Mytilus edulis: one gene and its partner. The protein of the gene in region 1 purifies or fractionates together with the protein of each later gene. This does not show direct contact. Links are inferred from orthologs where the notes say so. Each region holds a gene or a part of one and is shown on either strand. Other genes may lie near its edges.

What was found. Proteins that work in one complex are often made in the same cells at the same time.
Region 2: the proteins of ribonuclease P protein subunit p20-like (region 1) and inhibitor of Bruton tyrosine kinase-like purify together in Homo sapiens (affinity purification with mass spectrometry; 3 studies listed by BioGRID and IntAct, with this or other methods). This does not show direct contact. The link is inferred for Mytilus edulis from reciprocal best matches to the Homo sapiens genes POP7 and IBTK.

What each region holds. Positions count from the first base shown.
Region 1 is NC_092346.1:9,585,022-9,592,372, forward strand, and holds the start of ribonuclease P protein subunit p20-like, read right to left. Parts: upstream 3,027-7,351; 5' UTR 2,951-3,026; coding exon 2,922-2,950; intron 1-2,921. Other genes in the region: protein ARV1-like, read left to right, coding at 3,240-3,320. UniProt on the Homo sapiens protein: Component of ribonuclease P, a ribonucleoprotein complex that generates mature tRNA molecules by cleaving their 5'-ends. Also a component of the MRP ribonuclease complex, which cleaves pre-rRNA sequences.
Region 2 is NC_092353.1:20,080,544-20,087,796, forward strand, and holds the start of inhibitor of Bruton tyrosine kinase-like, read left to right. Parts: upstream 1-4,236; 5' UTR 4,237-4,402; intron 4,403-7,175; 5' UTR 7,176-7,253. UniProt on the Homo sapiens protein: Acts as an inhibitor of BTK tyrosine kinase activity, thereby playing a role in B-cell development. Down-regulates BTK kinase activity, leading to interference with BTK-mediated calcium mobilization and NF-kappa-B-driven transcription.

The DNA of each region.
Region 1 (7,351 bases):
TATTGTTAAAAAAAATAATAATACTTTCTAAATAAAGTCATGAGTGGGATTCTGTCAAAGTTTTATTTTGTGTTGAATAACTCTTAATCATGTTTTGGTTAGTGTATTCACCGTGTAGAACGCCACATGCGGGGTGTCGGCTATGTTTGACATGGGGTGGCAATTTTGAAGCGACGAAAAAGTAACAAGGTAAGTTCAAGCATCAAAATTTCTTATTTTTAGAACTCTCAGTATCATATAATATATTGCACGGAAGGAACAGCAACAAAATCTATTTCCTGAAAGCAGAAGCAGTCGTTTTCAGTGCTCAGTTTTCTCAAACACCTCGCCCTACTTTTCCGTGTTGCAGATTTTGAGGCTTTATATGCCAATTTCGGTATAAAAACTACTTTACACAGCTACCCTCCGTACCATGTATATAGAATTGTATTCCTCTCATTGACTTATACCAAATACCAGTTTCTTAGTTAAAATCAATTGGTTTTAAAACTGTTATTCATCAAAATATAAAGTGTCGCTCGGGGTGTCAGATTTTGCGTCGAAAGGGGTAGAGGCTTGTCATAAAAAATACATATTTGTATGTAAATTAGCCTTCATATGATACATTTTATTTCAAACACATCTACTTTACCATGACAAAATAGGATTTTTCATTTTGCCTGTTTTTCGTCTTATAAAAGATATGATTTGATTTCATTCACATCTACTTTACCATGACAAAATAAGGGTTTTTCATTTTGCCTGTTTTTGGTCTTATAAAACATGTGCTTTTGATTTCATTCATAGTAAAAAATGACTCAACATATTTAGTTTCCAAGCTGGTAAACGATTTCTTTTCCTTTTCAGTCACTATCATGGTAAAAAAAGGCAAGGCTATGGCTCAATAAACCAAAACATGGTGGAAAATCACAAAATAGTCCTTAATATAAGAAGCCTCCACCAGCAAAAATGCATCATAGTTCATCACCAGGTTCATCTAAAAAGCACTCATGCACGCCGCCAAAAACCATCACTCCTAAAAGAATTAGAACACTTTCTCCAATGAAACACTCACCGGCATCTTTTTCAGCGAATGACAACACAACTTCAAGTAATCCTGAAGACGATGATACTACAATTGTCAATGAGAAAACAACGACTTATACACAAATATACAACGGAACAGGTTTACAAGAAAATATGATTCAAGACAGTTATTTCGTTCATAATCGCCCAGCTAGAACTACATACCTTAAGTTTGTAATTTGTCATCATAACAGTGTAGGTGTGTTTGAATTAAAAAGTATCAGATAGAGATCGATTTATAAGAAAATGTATTCTTTTTTATGACAAGCCTCTACCCCTTGCGACACAAAATCTGACACCCCGAGCGACACTTTATATTTTGATGAATAACAGTTTTAAAACCAATTAATTTTAACCAAGAAACTGGTATTTGGTATAAATCAAAGAGACGAATACAATTCTATATAAATGATATGGAGGTTAGCTGTGTAAAGTAGTTTTTTATACCGAAATTGGCAAATAAAGCCTCAAATCTGCAACCCGGAAAACTAGGGCGAGGTGTTTGAGAAAACTAAGCACTGAAAACGACTGCTTCTGCTTTCAGGAAATAGATTATGTTGCGGTTCCTTCCGTGCAATACATTATATGGTACTGAGAGTTCTAAAAATAAGAAATTTTGATGCTTGAACTTACCTTGTTTAATTTGTTACTTTTTCGTCGCTTCAAAATTGCCACCCCATGTCAAACATAGCCGACACCCCGCATGTGGCAATCTACACGGTGGTATTGCTATAACTTTGTTTCACTGACTTGATTCAAAATAAAGTGAGATTCTGACTAGGTTTTTTTTTGTTTTTGTGTGTTGTATAAATTTTATCATGTTTTGGTTATAATTCGTGTATTGCTATATTTTATTGTTTCATTGTTTCAGATCAAAGGGACCAAGCTGTTAAAAACAATTATCTTTTGTGTTTTTCGTTTAAAATCTTCAATGTTTTACTGAGGGGGGATAGGAAGGGTCTTGATCCCGAAATCCCGGACTTGAAAAAACGAAATCCCGAGGTCCCGAACTTAAATAAAGCAAATCCTGAAATCCCGAAATCCGAAAAAAAGGATTCCCGGATCCCGAAATCCCGAGCTTAAAAACACCCGATTCAGAGTCCCGATAAAGGTCCTATCCCCCCTCTTTACTCATATCAAGCTATAAATACATTCAGTATTTACACCAAAGCAATTTAAAACAACAATCATGATTTTCCAATTATTCGACTGGAATTTTGTATTAAAATTGGGCGCGAACGTGTAGAGTGCGAACGGACATTGGGTGCGAACGTGCGAGGTGCGAACGTGTAGGGTGCGAAAGTGTATTGGGCGCGAACGGACCTGATACCCATTTTTACAATCAATGGATTACATACACCTTATCGCTATTTGTCTGCCATTGCTGGAAATCATACAGGTTCCCGTAAAATTTTGACGTCATAAAACAAAATGTCTGACGCCACAATGGAAAAGTGATTGTTGTTGACGTCAAAAGTTCAAGCGGACGGGTCAGCCGGGAATACACCTTATCGCTATTCCCGGCTGACCCGTCCGCTTGAACTTTTGACGTCAACAACAATCACTTTTCCATTGTGGCGTCAGACATTTTGTTTTATGACGTCAAAATTTTACGGGAACCTGTGTGATTTCCAGCAATGGCGGACAAATAGCGATAAGGTGTATAGCGATAAGGTGTATTGATGCTGGGAACAGTATATCTATATATATGTTCCTGATTGATGGAATACATCCTAACATTCTGCCTATTTCTGGCTGCATGATCACCTCAAAAAATGCAGTGCCTTATTAAACTTATCTGTTATTAACTAATGATTAATCGACTGTTTTGTTAACGACATAACAGTCTTACTTACTTTGGCTTTGCTTCTTCTTCAGAAATCATTTTTGTTTTTAAAGAACCGGATATACCAAAACAATTGTAAAAAATTAATTAAATCGGAAAAGAACCGTTGAAAAAACGGGTTAAATAGGATTGCATGAACATGGAATATGTATAAAGTTGTCACTGTATGTTGAGATAATGCATATTTCATCGTATAGATATTGATAACCAATTAATGTTATATGTATTTTTATTGAATGCGATTCGTGAACAATAAAAATACGGATATTCGGACTGTCCATACAACTATCGTTTATTATTTTACTAATGTAAACATCCGCTATAAACAATGAAATGCATCAACTGCGGAACAAAGTGTAATAGTCTTTATAGACATTACTCTAAAGATATAATACAACTGGAACACTGCGTAAGTAATATTTCATATTTAGAAAGACAATATATGACACATAGCATACCCCAAACATTGAATGCATCACATAATGAACTTCGTTTTGTTGCAACACAATTTCACATGTCTTCTTCTTTTTCAACTCTATACTAAAGTGTAATAAACTCGGGCGCATCTCAAAATGACAGGAGGACAGGCAAAACTTGATGGTATTTACAATGAAATATTAATCTTAATTACATCTATGTACACATGTTATCCTGCTGTCTACAATTAATGTATTTCAGATGTGGCTGGGTCCAGGGGGTGGTATTCACTCTGGACCCGAATTCCTCTAGTGATCCGGACTCCACTATATATTGGGGGAGTTAATTCCATTCTCTAGTTGTTCTTGGGAAGAATGAGTGGGAGTAGTTTGTCTACATTAGTGGTTGTCCCTTGTCCTACTATCCCTTGTTGTGCAGTATTTGGCTGGATCAATGGCAATCAACTGGTGTTGGTTCTTGTTATACAACACGAGGCTCTGTTTCCGTCGTCTGTGCAGCAGTGATTCCCATTGAAGTTGGTCCAGTAGCTTAGTAACATATTCAGGAGAGTTGTCCTGGTAGCAACTATAAACAAAGCGAGCTGCTGGTCTGTGTTCCCATTCTTCCAGCGAGATTTAAATAGGTCTTTTTGCAGCAAGTCTGCATCCTCTGTTTTCCTAATGCAGCGGAAGAGTAGATCTACAGTCATCAGCTTACAGTCGAGCACTTGATGTTGGTGCTTCTGGGAGGTCGTTGATATAGACCAGAAAGAGGAAGGGACCCATCTAAGTGTCCTGGGGTATTCCAGATATCACGTAAAGAGGGTCCGACTTGTGGTTTTCGAGAATGACAGACTGAGTTCTGTTGGACAGAAACTGTTTTATCCATTGAATCTGGAAACCTCTTACTCCGTAGTAATCCATTTTATGAAGTAGTCTGGCATGTGGCACCTTATCAAAGGCCTTAGCGAAGTTTATCAGGATGATGTCTGTCTGGTCGCCGTCCTCCATGTTCTTAGCTATTTCGTGTATAGTTATTACCAGCTGGAATTCGCATAATCGTTTGGTTCTAAACCCATGTTGTTCGTTGCAAAGTATGGTGTTTTGTTCATAGTGGTCCATGATAGAACTGTGGATTATGTGCTCTAGCACCTTACATGTGATGGATGTCAAGGACTCTGGACGGTAATTTGCTGCTGTGTTTTTTTTTACCTTTCTTAAAGACTGGGACTATGTTGGTTGACCTCCAATCTTCTGGTACTGATCCCTGGTCCATTGACAGTTGGTATAGTCTTGTCAGGTAAGATGATAGTTGATCAGGAGTATTCTTGAGAATGAAGGCTGGTATGTCAATCAGTCATCTGGGCCAATTACCTTAAACGGTCTTAGTCCTCTAAGTAGTCTAGTGACACCATTCCGACTGATTTTTATTGGTCTCGTGGTTGGATGTGGGCTTGGCCCTTTATCTGGCATGTTGTTTAGGTCTTCTTGGGTGTATATTGAATGGAATTGGTTGTTTAGTATAGCAGCTTTTGTTGGTGTGTCGCTATGTAGTATCCATCTTTATTTTTAGAATTGTTATACCTGAAGATTCCTGTTTCCTACTCTTTATGTATGACCAAAATCTTTTTGGGTTCTTGTTTAAATCTCCACAGACTATATTTTGCATGCATTTTGTATGTGCTCGTCTAGACGCTCGTTGAAGTTCAGCTCTGATGTTTTTATACCGTTTGACTTTCCAGTCCTTTGGTGAGTTGTTGTGTTTTGCCTTGGAGTTAGCTCTTGGTTTCTGTTTGCTCAATTGTCTCAGTTGGGTATTCACCCAAGGGTGGCTCTGTCTAGCAATTGATATTTGACATTTGCTGATATGTCCACTAATACTATGTCATGATAGCTATTTCCTATAGTATGGGTGGCAGTGTTTTAAATCTCTCTCTCAGGGGTGGCTTGTAAACATCTGGTCTAGTATTTTCTTTCCTCTTGTATTGTTGTTATTTATTTGCTGGATTGACAAATCAGCTGACATCTGTCACTTCGAAAAAAACGAAAGCCGTAAAGAAGTTTCCGCCATGTTGTTGAAGATTAATATGCACGAGCAAATGATGATCAATGATAGATGGACTATGCTAATCAAGTATATATAGAGAGTGCATTTTTAGATTGACAGATAATTGAACTACTTTACATTCCTGTCATCTCTAACAACTACCCAAAACTAATACAATAAGAGAGAGAACAAAAAAAAAAGCAAGAAGCAAAATAAGTGTATCAACGCTACAATCATTAAATGTTAAATTTCTAGATGAGTATTCGTCAAGCTCACACGACTTTTTGAACTATGACCGTGACCTCATACGTTCAAAACCAAACTGTAACACTAAGACCTTCTGGTCTTTTAGCAAGTAGCACAATCGCACATTGCAGGAGTCCAAGAAGGCCTCACATATGTACAAAGCGAACAAATCACAAACACAAACATCCTTCAAGTCTGTATTCCCAAGAGAAGGACAAGGGACCAAGCACATTTCCACATATGGCTCAATTACATTAGTGTACACGCTTCTCAAAAATCTTTATAAACCACACAAAGCTGAAGGACCCGACTAAGTACCAGCTATTTTTTTGAAGGAGCTGCCCAGTGTTTTATCTAATACACCAGACTTCAATCAACCTTTACACGGTTCTAGACATCTGGATAGTAAGACAAGTTAGACATGTCTTAAAAATGGAAACAAGAGCAAAGCTGCTATCAACATGCCGGTTTCATTGACTTTCATGTTCCAATATTGTTGTTGGGCATATTCTACATTCTACCATAAATAAACTCATCATAGAAACCAGAAATGAAATTTGTGTTTGCGCCAGATGATCGTTTCGTCTACAAATGCATCATCAGTGACAACACTTACAAAAAAATCCCTTATTGATGCTCAGAATAGATTCTTGAGTAGACGTTTTAGTGAAACATAGCTTATCGCAACCATCCAAGACTTTGCAAAAGACGTTCAATATATATAAGTTATCAAAGGTACCAGGAAAAGTCCAGGATTATAATTTAGTACGCCAGACGCGCGTTTCGTCTACATAAGACTCACCAGTGACGCTCATATCAAAACATTTATAAACCAAACAAGTACAAAGGTTGAAGAGCATTGAGGATCCAAAATTCCAAAAAGTTGTACCAAATACGGCTAAGGTAATCTATGCCTGGGATAAGAAAATCCTTAGTTTTTCGAAAAATTCAAAGTTTTGTTTCATAAAAATTACCACTTTATTGATATTCATGTCAACACCGAAGTGTTGACTACTGGGCTGGTGATACCCTCGGGGACGAAACGTCCACCAGCAGTGGCATCGACCCAGTGGTGTAAATAGGTATCAAAGGTACCAGGATTATAATTTAGTACGCCAGACGCGCGTTTCGTCTACATAAGACAGATGCCGTAATACTTGATTTTAGGAAAACCTCCGTCAAGTTACCACATCAAAGATTGTTCCTCTCAAGTTCCAAAACTGTAGAATCAGCTGTTCAGTCCTGAAATGATATGGTAACTTCATACGCAGAAGAAGGCGACATGTCCAAGTAGAGGGAGCATGTCAACGTCATATGACCCTATTATTTCTTACTTTTAAAAATGATTCTCAAATTTCTGACTTTTTAATTAATGAACTAACTGAAATTTGGGTTCTTTTTTTAAACAGTTTGATGATGACTGTTTGATCCCCAAGAACATAGAAACAAAGTTAATATCCGACACGAACATCCAACCAGAACCATGGGAAAAGTGGCGGTAATCTGGCAAATGATTTCTATCCACATAGCGATAAAGGGTATATGCGCGTAGTATAATCAATACCATATACATCCTTATGGCCACACAATAGAGACATGCAATGTTAGCAAATACTGTTGACAATCAGCCAAGATCTATCATGATACACTCGCATTGATTAGACAACAGCCAAGGCTTCAAGAACAGTTTGGTTCTTCAGACTATCAAAAGGACCTTTCAAGAGCGAGTAA
Region 2 (7,253 bases), on another chromosome or scaffold:
AAATTACAGTTTGTTCTTTTTCTTTACTAATATAATTTCCTAAAGCTAAATATGTTATAAAGTATGTCATGTTGAGATTTTCTGGTATCGGTTGAGATATTCTGGAACAATGTTGAGATCTTCTGGTGAATGAAATTTTCAACTATAAAAAGAAGATGTGGTATGACTGCCAATGGGACAACTGTCCACAAGAGACCAACATGACACAGACATTGACAACTATAGGTCACCGTACGGCCTTCAACAATGAGCAAAGCCGATACCGCATAGTCAGCTATAAAAGGCCCCGATATGACAATGTAAAACAATTTAAACGAGAAAACTATAAAGACCTTATCTGTATAAAAAATAAATAAATAACGGAAAACAAATATGATTCAATATGCAGCACATAAACAAACGACAACCACTGAATTACAGGCTCCTGACTTGGGACAGGCACATACATAAATAATGTGGAGGGGTTAAACATGTTAGCGGGATCCCAACCCTCCCCCTTACCTGGAACAGTGGTATATATAACAGTACAACATAAGAACGAGCTATAAAAATCAGTTGAAAAAGGTTTAACTCATCAGATGAACAAAAATGCAATTGGACGTGGCCGGGTTCTTGAACATCCCGACAACAAAAAGACACTAGGAACAGATTTGAGAGTACTCGCAGTTATCTGACAGCTAGTTAAAAGCCATTAACAACTAATAAAAAAATCATGCATCTAAGACTAAACTATCAATCCGTACACATCAAATTAATTTAGTGTAAAGACGTCATAAACAGTCAGAGAAAAACATGACCTTGTGTAGCTTACAACTGTCAAAATTCATAAACTTGCCGTATATTGTTTGACATTTCAACAGTCATTTTAATCTTGTCTGTAGTTATGACAGCAGCTTCTAAAGAGGCCTTTGGTTGTAATAGAGTCTAAATAGTAAATAGCTGTGTTTTTTAAGTACTAGTATTAAAGTTCTAACGCTGGAGATTAATTCTAGCGTTTGAGATGCAGTTTTGCACAGAAGCTTTAACGTCAATAATGTTGTAATTGACATCTCCAGGGCTATTAATTATTTATTTATTTATGTGTTACATATTTGTTGTTCGTTCATTTTTTTTTATATTTACAAGGCCGTTAGTTTTCTCGTTACAATTGTTTTACATTGTCATTTTGGGGCCTTTTATAGCTGTCTATGCAGTATGGGCTTTGCTTATTATTGAAGGCTATACGGCGACCTCTAGTTGTTACTTTATGTGTCATTTTGGTCCCTTTTGGAGAGTTGTATCATTGGCAATCGTACCACAGAAAGAACATTGATAATAAAACGGATACATACAAATTGAAAACAAATCGCGTAAGAAAAGGCAATTATTGGTATGTTAGTTTTCTTTAGTACCATGAATATTTTTGGCTCAACTTCTCAATCATGATCAGGCAAAATTATTGGCTTTTTATTCTGACATTTTTTTTTATTCCTCTTCCGTCCCATTTTTCGGCATATAACACGTCCGTTTTATTTGGCCATTACATCACGGACTCCTAACGGATGCAAATTTTGTAAATCGAAAACTTTTGTTTATCCTTTCGACGTTCGTTCGAGCTATCTGGTAAGGTGTGACCACAGTTTTTAGCAGATATCGCATGCTTAGCATACACACAATTTTTTTTTAACTATCTCCCACAATTAAGCTACGTCGAATCCAGTTTTAAAATATTTAAAAAGAAAACTGAATTAATATTCAGAAATGGATATTCATTAAATTCTTTCATTTCATCAAAAGTTATTATTTAAAGTAGATAATTGCAAAGGAGATGTACATGCAATATAGATTACCTCTTACTGTCATAATCTGAAGGAGAACTGGAGGACAAATGTTGAACTATCTCCTGACACTTTAAGACTGTTCTAGCTTAAACAGTTCTAATCAAGAACTGATTTGGTCATTGGTAAGTTCTACCTAGAACTGATTTACACAGTTCAATCTGGAACGACAGTTCCACGGCTAAAAAAATCTACGACTAGAACAGAACTGCGACCTGATTTCGCCACGAACGCATCACGATTGTTTTGAACATGTTAAAAGTTGGCTACTCTCAACACGATCACCAAGAACTCATCAAGACCGTAACACAACCAAACTGCACTACGATCGTCAATAGCATTATTTTTTTAGAAATCGTAGTGCGAGACCTAGTGTGACGGGGCCCGGGTTATAATATAAATGTTGCTGAATATTACCAAATATTAAGGATGTGCCCTGAATGCAGTTGTAAACAAATATCTAAGTTTTAATTATTTCAATACAACACCTGTGATTACACTAAGTTGGACGTCACTTATAATAATTACAAAGCAATTTTAAAATCGTCATATTTTTTTTTTGTGATAAGTATTATAATGACAAAAATGACATCTTTTACTCACATTTAAATTATCCTCTCCCTGAAATAATGTGTAAGAAAAAATAAACCTAGAAAAGGGGTCCTGTTCGATTGTTTAGTTTTTAACTATTTTATTTCTTTATAAATGTACGCATTTTCGGCATCAAATATTGTCTGTTAGGAATCGAATTCATCCAAATCATATGAATGAATAACCATTGTAAAATAATCTTATTTATATTTGTAAGGCATGCATTTTTCTATCGGCAATGCTTAAAATTGTATCTGTATTTAGATTTTATGTTACCCTAGACAGAGAACATGAATCAGGTTAACCATAAAAAAAGGTAAACTCGAATAGTACAGCGCAACCAGAAAGTCTCAACATTGTGACAGAAAGATTCAACCAATACCTTTATATCTCAACCAATTTTAATTTTTTTATTTTTTGCTCAGAGTAGGCTTGACAAACACATATTTGTGCAATTTACAGACGTGGTTATCGTAAAGCCTAAAAAAACACAAATTATTGACATATTTTCTTGCTAAGTCATTAATATCATAGCACTTCTATCGTATTTAAAGAATGTAAACATTATAATCCGTAGGAGAAAAGTGATTGTGACTTCAATTTAAAATATTTTAAACCAAGAAGAGACATATTAGTTACAATTATGATTTGTCTATGGCATGACATTCTCCGATTTACAAAAAAAGTCGTTAATTTTCAGTAAATCGACAAAAAATCGACCTACCCTGTGTTTATTTTCAATATTTTGAACCAGAAAAGCTCAACAGGAAGTGCCAGAATACTTTTTTCCGTCTCAACCATTTGGTTGAGATTAGATTGTTGGTTTACCAGGCGTGTTAAAACACAATGTTGACTGCTGCACCCCTATCAAGTTTTGATATTTTTATCTATCTTTTTGTGTTTGTTTTGTTCACACATCGTTATCAATATAATGGAATTGTATGCGACTGTATGGTTTAATCCACCATTTATACTTCAGAAAATGCCTGAACCAAGTCATGAATATGACAGTTGTCATCCATTTATTTGGTGTTTGAAAATTTGATTTTGCCAAAAATGATTTGCTTAGGAATTTTCCGTTTCGAAATTTCCTCGGAGCTAGTTCGGTATTTTTCTTCTTTTTTAAAACTTTTTCCTGCGATTTAATTTGAATAGTCACTAGGTGCTGGGACTATTATAATATCATTAGTATAATAGTCCCAGCTAGCTGCTTTTTTTTTAACTAGCTTTCGATATAATAACTTAAGTAACAAACACAGAAAGCGCTTCTCCTGTTTCACATATATATAGAGTATTTTCCGTTTGTCCATGATGAATTCTGCCGGGGATATCGTGAGCGGCGTCACTTGTAAAATAGTTTAAAACCTTTAGACTAAAGTTGCAAAACGTAGTAATTTTTTGTCACTTTACAGTTTTTTTCTAACAAACCACCTTTTGTTGTATCATTTGAACCCATGAGTCTATGATGAATAAAAGGAGATGTGGGGTTATATGCCCATGACATAGTAACCCAGCTACAAAATTAAATAACCACAAAACCAAATTTTAACGTGTCACTATGACATGGACAAAAGTTAAAATTATTTGTTTTATGACTTCTACAGTAGTGAAATTAAAATAAAAAATACAAATACGAATTTATGTAAAAGATCAAATTTTTTTAAGGATATGAACAAAAAGTTTATTACCAGATTACAGATCCAACACAGTATATTGACCACTTGATTATCTTGTTGAAACAAAAAATCGTAAATGATTCTGTGATTACTTGGACTACCCCATGAGGGGCCTCTTTTAAGAATCGGACATATTTCCGGAACATTTCTCCAGATTTGATTTGGTTAATAAATTTGAATCGTCGTTTCCTGTTTATATTTCACCACGTCAAAAAAATAGAAATTATATAAAAATTATGTCTAAACTAAGCATAAACACCAACTTTACATACTCCCTCTACACTGTTTGCGACAATAATGTTCTGTCCTCTTGATCAGGTAATGCAAAACTCGAATGCTTTGGTTGAATTAACAAAAATATCTTGAACATGTTAACATGGTTAAGGTCACAAGAACTTTTGAAGAAGTGACATACACAGTGTTTCATACTTGTTATGCAATTTTCTTGGCATATCTCACTATGATCGGGAATATAGTGCTATGATTTGCTATAAATTTGTTCATTTATATCCATTGAATGTCTTTATAGTCAATAAAGGTAAACTTAAATAATTATATTGGTATATATACATGTACATGCAGTGCTCTAGCTAGAAATCAAAAGGGGCAGGGTGCCAGTGGAGGGCAGGGCACTTTTTATGATAAGAAAAGGCACTGCCATTTTTTTTGTCTACGTTTCTGTGTGTATCACGAGTTAACGAATCTCTTTTTTTTTTACTGTATATGTTGTTTTTTTTAAATAAAGATGCATTTTAACTATAGTCTTTATTTCATTGTTTGTGTAGTTATGAATTATATAGTACATCTTCATCAACTTATAAAAGTGTTTATAGTTTAACTTCACTCTACCCATTGTCGAAGAATTTTTTTTTTATCTTTATAAGAATTTCAGCTTTTATATGTTATTTATCTAACTTTGTAGTGTATTACTAATTTATCAATGTTTAGAACATGGATTGCTAAAAGTATAATTATCAAACAGAAATTGCAATATATTTTTTTTAATATGTTCAAAGACAGTTAATATCCTTAAGGTAACATTATTATGTTATTATATATTCAATTGGTTCTTTATTCCTTTTTTTGATACTAGATAATATTTTTAGAGCACAAATTTGTAATAAGCTAAAACAGGGGAAGTAACTCCAAAATTAATTTCCAACACGTTTGCGTTAATTAAAAACTGTGCTTGTCGCTAACAAGTTGAGATGGAAGGCATTTCTGTGAAGGCATAGTTTTATTTTGATGACTTAAATTCAATTCTAAAGTCATGAAAGTCTTCATTTATACACTCTTTCATTGTGACTTGGAAATCGAAAATGCCGACCCAACCTAAACACACTTGCTGACACGTTCATCAAAAGTATGACAAAAAGATACATTGTCCTAATTAAATTACCTAGTTATTAACACCTTTGAAGTCTTTATCATTGTAATTGATTGTAATGACATGATTAACCTGGGGGCAATCACACAGGTGTCATATATGTAATTAACTTGGAGATCAGAAATCGATGAAACAAAAAGCAATTTTACCAAAACGGCACAAGAGAATTTTGGAAAAAGACGTCAGGGCAGAAGGGCGCGGATGAAGGCACCCAGGGCGCGGCTGAGGGCACCCAGGGTGCGGCGCCCTTCTATTTTGGGCTAGCGAGACCACTGTACATGTATGTTAATAGGGGTGAGGCACTTGCAAGGCTAATATGAGGCAGGCATTACCTGTAAATGGGGACGAAGTCTGTATGAATTATTTTTTTGAACCTTAAATATTTGTTAAAAAAAAGAAACGGAAATACCGTAACGTTTCCAATTTTGGTTCTGTTGTTAGGGATTTTTAGTTGTGACGTTATTTAAGTTATGACATCATATGCAATGTAAACCAAGAAACGCTTTCATCAGGTAACGTTTTTTCATATCGAGGAATTATAAAAAAAATGAAATTGGTATTGCGTTCCTTTCTATTTTATACTAGACTGATAAATATATATTTTACTCAAAGTTTCACAAAAACGAGACCAGAAAAAGGAAGTACATTGTAGATTTCTGCGCAGATGTGGGAATTCAAAACATGACATCAAAAAAATTGAACGATTTTGAGTTCATTAGTACAATGAAAATTTTGGGAAAATTAAATTTCCTGATTTTTTTAAAATTTTTTTTTATTATTGATTTTTCTACTGTTATTGGGGACTTCGTCCCCATATAATCAGTTCATTGAGTGTGGCCAATGTATCTGGCAGAAACTATTTAGAATACAACACACCTGCTTGATATCATACTAGTATACTGGCCAGCGACCACATGTGTGATTTATGACAACTTATCGATGGGTGTGTAAATATTGACACCTTTGTGTGTTTTTAATGACTCTTTGCAAGCTTAAATTAAGGAAAATACATTTACATGGTGATTGGAATAGTACAAATTTTTATTGATTTATAATACAATACAGATTATATTATGACTTCTCTTGAACTGAAAGTGAATTTTAATATGCGTATTGTTATACGTTTACTTTTCTACATTGGCTAGAGGTATAGGTGGAGGGTTGAGATCTCATTAACATGTTTAACCCACCACAACTTTGCGCCTGTCCCAAGTCAGGAGCCTCTGGCCTTTGTTAGTCTTGTATGATTTTTAATTTTAGTTTCTTGTGTATAATTCGGAGTTTAGTATGACGTCCTTTATCACTGTACTAGTATACATACTTTTTAAGGGGCCAGCTGAAGGAAGCCTCCAGGTGCTGGAGTTTCTCGCTACATTGAAGACCCGTTTGTGGCCTTAGGCTGTTGTCAACTTTATGGTTGGGTTGTTGTCGCTTTGACACATTCCCCATTTCCTTTCTCAATTTTACAATGCAGCGTCCAACAGAATGACTTCTTACTTGAACAAGTTAATTATATATAAAATAGTATATGGCACATAATTGGAAAGCACTTGGTCAAGAGAATAAATGGTATCCAATATACAGTATACCATTCAAGGAAAATTTGTATATGAGAAGAAAATATTTTTATTTGCATCTAGAAATTGTACTGACTTTTTTATTAGTAATTACATTTCAATTAATTATTGTTTTTCTTAATTTCAGGTTAATCTTACCATTATGGCTTTTTAAACACTGACACTATGGTTGCCCTATAGTGGGCATCCAGTCTTTGGCTGGTAT